Arabidopsis thaliana: one gene and its partner. The protein of the gene in region 2 purifies or fractionates together with the protein of the main gene of each other region. This does not show direct contact. Each region holds a gene or a part of one and is shown on either strand. Other genes may lie near its edges. The genes, in order: AT1G27695 and PDE320.

Region 1 (3,925 bases), on a different chromosome or scaffold from region 2:
AAATCTTTGCTAAGAAATGCTTTTTATTTTTTTGTTTCTCAGCAAGATATGAATGGATGTTCAGAGAGGGGCAAGAGTTGTATGGAGTGTGAGGAGGACTGTTATGAAAAGCAGCTTCATGGTTGGTATGGAGCTCTACAGAGGCAACTCCAACGGTCTCAGTATCGAATGCGATATAGTAAATCGGTTCACGCTGCAATTTGGATTATTCTTTTAGTTTTTCTTATTGGTAAGATTTACTGAACTCTGAATCATTTATGTTTAGAACGCAAAGCTTACTGCATCACTTTTGAGTTTTGAGATAAATTGTTTTTTTTTCTGATTGCAGTGGTAGTTGCAGTGCATTCAATGTAGAAGAGAGGTTTGGAATAGCAAGGTTCGAGTTCATTCATCTTCTGTGTAACAGCGAAAGAGACGAATTTGGCAATCCACATTTTTACTGTACAGTAAATTCCAACTGTTTTTGGTTGTTTGTAATATAGAAATGCATTTTTTTGGTTCGATTATTTGAAACGGGTTTCATTGAGCAATCATTGTTTTCTTAGGCACCAATCCTATTAACCATTGTAGAATTATTTGGGACTAAACCCAAGATTGAAGTGGAACCTTCTAAAAATGACAATTCAGAATACAGAAATGCATTTCGTATTGGATTATTTGAAGTAACCGTTTCATTGAGAAATAAGAAAAGGTGTCAGAATTCTTTTACAATCAATCCGAGCAGAGTATTGAAGCACACGACTGCTTAAGTGGAGTTTTTGGACATGTTAGCCACCACCTCCTCCCGTTTATCGGCAGTCTCTAACTCGATGCCTTGAAATGTAAGTCTAGATGAACGATAGTGACTCCCAAACGCAGTCCCGAAACCCCACCCGAGGCCCAAACCCACCCCGCAACCGCCACCTTTGTCAAATACCAGACGCATAAGTTACGTAATTAGAATTTAGGAAAAACCTGCTCGGTGTGTATCTATGCGAGTGTGGGATATTTGAAGTAGAAGTTTGAAATGCTTACCAGCACCAACACCTAAGATGTTCATAGGCATTCCTGCATGAAAGCAACGGAAATCTCCAATTCAGTAGGTTTGCAAAATAGTATGAATCCATCAAAATGTAAGCGCAACTGATACTAGCTATGCGTTTAAGCAACCATTAGCTAGGAAAGAAGAAGCATTTGAGTAAAGATGATATGTAGGAGTTGATAATCTCTATAAGAGACATTAAGCAATATGATCACAAAACTAAACAAGCACAGCAGAGTGCATTGCACATCCCATAGCAACTAGCAAGAGAATTGTTCCAATAGAATTATCTTGTAATTCAGTCCAGATTTTGTTCAAGTAAAAGCAGAAAAAGAGAGAAGTTGAGAACGAACCTCCAAAACCCCATCCAACGCCAAATCCACAACCAACACCGAACCCTATGAATTCCAATAACTAAATTACGATTCCAATCAAAATTAAAAGGAGAAAACAATTGCGAATGGGGGCATTACCAAATCCAACACCGACTCCAGTGAAGTCAGAGAGCACCATAGTGATCTTCACAAGAAAAAAAAAGAAACCAATTTAGGAATCTATAAATTCAAATGAGCAGAAATTGCGAATCTGAATTACCCGATGATACCTTGTTTGTTGTTGGTAATCGGTGAATCTGGTAGATTGCTCTCTCTACCTCCCCCACTTAAAATCGCAAGCCCTGAAAGCAAGAGAAGAAAGGTGAAGACGATTTGTTTTAGAGACGTACCAAATTAATCGAACCGGTTTAACTAATGAACCGGGATTATTTTCAAAATGATTTTATGTAAAAGAATTTGGTCAACAGTGAACCGGCCTAATTCTTTTTCTCAAGGTCAACAACAGTCAACAGTAAAATAAAACGATCTAGTGAGCAAATGGATCAATCCATATGCAAAAATGCTCATGTCCCATTGAAATCCAACTCACAAATAGGATTTGGATGGTTGAGACAGACAAACAGATAAGTACTTATGGCCATTTTTTGGAGTAAACTAATGAGCAACGGTTTGAAATAGACAGTAGGAGGAGAAATAACATTTACTAGTTTGTGCTACAAAAGAAACTACACTCACACTATGAATTTATTGATATACAATACAAGGAAGATCGTATTCATCAGTTCCAATTGGTATGGATGACCAAGTAATATTTCTTTATACTATATGCTATTAGGTGAAATAGATGGGAGCTTCTATCATAGTATATGAAACAATATTATAAACTAAAAATTGGACTGACCTTACTAAGACTACACATTCCTAACATTATGCGGCAAAAAGAACGAACTTCTCCTGCTGTCTATTTACAACTTCAACGAAACTTCCTACAAGAATTTTAGCTTCGACAATAGCAAAAGTAAAATAACCGGTCTAGGGTTTGTTTTTGAATGAGTTATACACATTGATCTCCTGCTTCTTCACATCAACCATTTTTATGGCCGTGCAATGTCCTAATTTTGGGGCCTTGAGATAAGTCTTCAACGTGGGAATCAAATCTGAGTTCTGAAGGTGGAATGAAGCAATCTATAGACAAGCCAGGGACATTGAACGAGATTTCATCGATGACCCATGCTTCTTGCATTGTGGTCTTAGTGTTATGTCCTGATGACATATCTCCAAACCTTAAAAGCGTAGCCACGGATCTACCAGAGTGAGCTATCATGATACCTTCGACAGGTTTGTAGTCTTCTAGGTATGAGTTGATGGTCGTCTCCCAGTAAACCGCTTCGCCTCCATTGTTTTGGATTCGGGTTAGCTGGGAGTCTTCTAAGTGAACAAGCAGACCGGTTTTTTGGCTGAAGTAACCGAACAACGTATGTCTTATGGTCTCTGATGCCCCTTCGCTTCTAGCTTTGAGTGTTGCCGGGTCTGCACATAGCTTGAGAATGAAACAGTCTTCTCCATCGATCTTTTTTTCTCCTATGCACCTTGCATTTGCAAACATATACGCTGTGGTCCTCGGGTCAAGTCCCTGAAAGTTGACAACAGTAACAATTCAGTTATGCAAGCAAAGAAAAGTGTATGAGAAGGCTTCCTTGGGACAAGAGGCCTAACCTGCAGAGCACGTCGTAATGGTCTAACCGGTCCTTTTGCAGCATGAGGTCCAAGCCATGGTGTGTGTCTCCACACAAGCTTCCCGTCACAACCTGCAAGAACCTTGCTCCCACCAAGAACAAGCTCCATGTACCACATATCAGGATTCATATGCCACAACACAAATCCTCCAGACTCAACAGCTTTTGACGAATTATTCTTGCTCTTTGAACCTTTTGAGCCTGTCTCAAACTCTGAAGCCATCGTCCTGATTCTTCCCATAACATATCCATTTTGCACAGAACTATGAAGCTTTTGACCTCCTGATGCAGCCGTATACTGCTGAAGTATGTACTGAGCAGAGGAAGTCTCCTGAAAATTCAAGTATTAGTAAGAGTCATTAGACTTTACCCTCAACACATTAAAGCAGAGATAAAACTTGATAAATCTCAATTAATTGCGCAGTCTTTCTCCGTAATTAGTAGGCAACTAAAAGAAGATTCAGCTAAATTCAAGCTAGATTATGGCACAGAAGAGCTTAATTCAACATGATTAACTCCAAATCCCCAACACTGTCCTAATTTTGAGGAGACAACAGTGAATTAAGAGCTCACCATAGGTGTATTCTTGATACTGAGGTGTGGAAGGAGATCCAGAGCGCTAACGTGCACAGGACCTAAAGGTGCGCCAAGAACACCGAGGAGAAGCCTCAGATCCGTTCGTTTGAAATCCGAAGAGGACGATACTGACGGCGGAGCCACCGGAAGCTGACATTTCATCCAATTGTACCAACGTCTCTCGAACCTAGAGTAATCACCACTGCTTCCGGAGTCTTCAGCGTCTGGATCAGGACCTTCTATAACCGGAGCAAGCA
Region 2 (3,925 bases):
AATACTTCAGGGCAGATTTTCTGAAATGCTTCTAAACTAGGCTGCCGAGAATTTAAAAGATCTTGTGCGACGCTAGTGGCACCGGTAAGAAACCTCAAACCATGCGGAAAGTCTAATCTAGCATGGAAACGGGTGAGATCAAAGAAGAATTTCTGGAAGTTTCCATATTGAGCTGTGAGTGATGCCCGCCCTAAGGCATCAGCCATGAATCCGGAATTTACAGATGGAAAATGAAGAGAGAACCCTCCAACACCCTCAGAATCATTTTCAAATTTTGATCTGATTGAATTTTCACCAAATGCTGCGGTCATCACAGAGCCTGTGGGATTAATGAAACTCTTAGTAACAGCACCAAAAAGATCATAAAAAAGACCCGTGCTTCCAAACCTGAAGGCTCAAGGCTCACTCATACATAAAATTTTCAATCAGAGGAAAACAAATTAGCTATTCAATAGTCGAAAGAAACCAAAATATCCCAAAAATTCCCATTTCCATCACTAGTTCTGTAACATCAAATATTGGAATTGGAGAACTCAAATGATAAGAGTTGAACAAAACTTATTAGAGAAATCACAAAACTTTCAGTCTTGACAATAAAATGCTTCTGAAATAAGTTGAAGAAACTTATCATACCGATAATCCCAGATACTGCGACATGAGGACTACTGAGGAAGACATCATAGGGCTTGCAAGTTTCGAGCTTTGGAGTGGTACCCCTCCAGAGATCCATGTTTGTCCTATAAGAGACTGCAGATTTCAGAGACAAACCAGGAAGCAGTGACGGTGGAGGCACTTCCATAGTATCAGAATGTAACTTCTTGGGTGATCCGCTGTTATGGTGTAAACATAAATGGTAACTTGGACCAGATTCAGCAGGAAGAGATGCTAGATCAATAGCCATTGAGAGTGGCACATCCCAATATTCACCATGTTTATCCACAAAAAGTCCAGGCCAAACCGCTTCTGCTGTCAGATTGTGAAGCGGAAACTGAAACCAACAAAAAATAGAGACGTGAGTCAGAACAAAGTGTAGCGGACTTCATTACCTCAGCAACCAATTGGTATGATCCAAATCAACAATGAATCACATTGCCAACCAAATAGTGAAATATTATTAACAGAGTCAAGAAATTGAAAAGAGGGTAACAGAGAAATTGCCTCGTGATTGAAGATAGCCTTAGCTCTAGGATTCTTATCGAGATCACCTTTGTAAGCATCATAGCTAAGAAGCAAAGTATCATCTGGTGATAACAAAAACTCAGAACAAAAACCCAATGCGTACAAAGATTTATCCTTCAAATGCTTGCCAATTGTGTTTAAACGAGAAGCTACTGTAGACGAAGACCCTCGACCAAAAGCTTTAGTCTTATCTATCTCCGTTACGAATCTCTGAACATCGAATTGGCCCAGAAGAGACACAAGCCTTGGGATTCACAAAAACAAAATAATTATCGAACTTTCACCGAAAGTATCAGAAAAAAAAAAAGTTAGGATTTTTGAATTTGGGGAGGTATACCAGTTGTTGGAGAAAGGAAGAGTGAGGACTCTTTGAAGAGAGAATCCACCACCGCCTCCATCTCCGGTGTTGGGACGGATAGGGGAGAAGGAAGGGATGAGAGGTGAGGCCATGAAGCGGTGGAAGAACTCAACTTGCTTAGGGCGAGATAGACGAGTGCCTCTAGAGAGACCTAGAGGAAGAGGATCGTCAGGAACAGCTCGTGCGGTGCCCTCGAGCGTCACCGGAGTTGACATATCGAGGTCCCAGATGTCTCCCTCTCCGACCCATCTCATTCTGTTCATCTCCGTCGTCTCCGCCGCCGTCGCTCGATTTCTACACCCAGCTGACCTGGAGATGACCAAACACACTCTTACTCTGGATTTGTTCGATAAACACCTTGCCGTTTTTGGTTTTCATAAGAAGAATGCTTCCCGTTTAATTAAACCGGCTTAAAGAACAAAGAAGGCGTCTAACGGTTAAAAGAATCGATTTATTCCGGTTATGGATTGAATTATTCGGTTTGAATAAAAGAGTAGGAACAAAGAAACTAGGAACTTTAGAAATTCATATCAATTCATTTGCCTCAAAAGCTTAAAATTCAATGTTTGCTATGGAATTACCAGTGTCTATGTAATGATTAAAATAACCGCAGCTAGCGACACATAATATCTCGATGCTTTTTTAATCTTTATTCTTTGTGAATAATATACAAATGTTTAGAAGAGAAAAGTTCTTTTTTAATGGTTGGTAGGGGGTGTTTCGTGCATGGTTCCTCTAGGATTCCAACTTGGTCAGGCTTATATATAAAAGGACCTTGAGTTTTGAACCCTAAACCATCAGACACACCTTCCTTCACATGCTTCTGTATCTTTAGATATATATACACACGCAAAATACATCCCTCTCTCTAAAACATCATAATGGGAGGTTCGTGGCGTTTCTTCTTTAGCTTCTTCGGCAGTTTCAAAGCGTGGTGGCGACGGAGACAGAGATCGAACCAGGCAGGAACGGACGATGAGATGTATGGTGAAGATAGTGAAGCCAACTTCTATAATTGGTACCTCGTTGAACCAGCTATTAACCGGAGATCCACTGATTTCATCAAAAGGTTCCACGAGACTCGTGACTGATTCCATCACCTTCTTATTCTTCTCTTCAGCTCTTGGAGTACGTAGTAGTTTGGAAGAAAATTTGTTTGTTTTTTCCGGTTTCGTCTCTGTAGTACGTGTTTTCTATGTGATTTCAATAAATATAATCCTCATTGGTCAAGTCTATCGAGTTGAATATTATGTGTGTTTTTCTCTACGTACCTTATTAATGCATACGACAATGATAAATCAATCGTTGGTTTGTGTTATATATCAAAGAAACACAAAAACAGTGGATATTTCTTGTAAAAAGTTAAATAATTATGGTTTTACATTACTTCACCTTATTCCAAAATGAATCTCAAACAAAGAAATGCATAATCAATGAGTCTCCACAGAAAAAAGGGAAGAAGCTTACTCCTTAAAAAAAAATTTAGTAAGTATAATTTTCACATGGGCTTGCATAAAGTTCCTTATGAGAAGATTGATTGTGATGCCTGTATAAGTATCGTAGAAGAATTAGTCCGCATATGATTGGTCAAATCTTAAACCAAAAGTGTGTATATATTTAGATAAGGATAATCGTTTTCTTCAAATAAAAGTGTCTTGGAAGGCGAGAAGATTGTTCTCCAGGTTAAACCCAAACATGGGATATGATTTTTCTGTTGTCTATATCAATTACTCTCGTTCATGTTGTTGTTATGAACTAATTACATTTACTATGAATCCTTTTGGATAATTTATTACTTCACTAGAGAAAGTTGAGGAGGTGTCTAATCATAAGTTTGCCAAATAATCAGTCATGTACGTTCTTATTATTATAGGGCGATATGCTCCAAATAATCGAAACCAAAACTCACTATCTTTATACAAAGCTTTTGGAAAAGAAAAACGAATATATGTTAGAAAGAAGAAGCTTTACTAGGCACGAATCGATACAAAAGCAATGAAAGAATCAGTCAGAGCTCGATATATATGCTTATAATCAAGAAGAAAGAAGATATTTGTTTCACTAAAACATATGCCTCTCTCTTTTTTTTTTAGTATTTTGTGTCCCAAACTTTAAGACAGCTTGAAAGCACTGCTTGGTGGTTAAGTATCAACATTCTATATATAGGCTTAGTCACTTTGTTACCTTTCTAAATTCTTACCTTCTCCGAAGCTTCTCACCTTTGTTTTTTTTTTTTTACCTTTTCGGAACATGTCCTAACTCATAGGCCTTTTACTTTACATTCCTCTTCGCTTATATGATGAGAGAAAAAAAAAAAAAAAATTGTTCACGTCCCTGAGGGTAATTTTAGCTTCAAAATTCATCTTTTAAATTAATTTTAAAATTTTA

What was found.
Region 1: the proteins of PDE320 (region 2) and AT1G27695 purify together in Arabidopsis thaliana (affinity purification with western blotting, with the first as the bait; one study listed by BioGRID). This does not show direct contact.

What each region holds. Positions count from the first base shown.
Region 1 is NC_003070.9:9,636,823-9,640,747, reverse strand, and holds AT1G27695 (glycine-rich protein), read right to left. Parts: upstream 1,725-3,925; 5' UTR 1,626-1,724; intron 1,602-1,625; exon of another isoform or gene 1,541-1,601; 5' UTR 1,535-1,540; coding exon 1,495-1,534; intron 1,420-1,494; coding exon 1,375-1,419; intron 1,048-1,374; coding exon 1,015-1,047; intron 904-1,014; coding exon 746-903; 3' UTR 544-745; downstream 1-543. Other genes in the region: AT1G27700 (Syntaxin/t-SNARE family protein), read left to right, coding at 43-229, 329-354; AT1G27690 (lipase, putative (DUF620)), read right to left, coding at 2,441-2,989, 3,073-3,423, 3,666-3,925.
Region 2 is NC_003074.8:2,194,705-2,198,629, forward strand, and holds the start of PDE320 (pigment defective 320), read right to left. Parts: upstream 1,878-3,925; 5' UTR 1,801-1,877; coding exon 1,517-1,800; intron 1,424-1,516; coding exon 1,159-1,423; intron 989-1,158; coding exon 634-988; coding exon of another isoform or gene 512-633; exon of another isoform or gene 320-511; coding exon 1-319. UniProt on the Arabidopsis thaliana protein: Involved in lipid transfer from the endoplasmic reticulum (ER) to plastids. Specifically binds phosphatidic acid (PtdOH).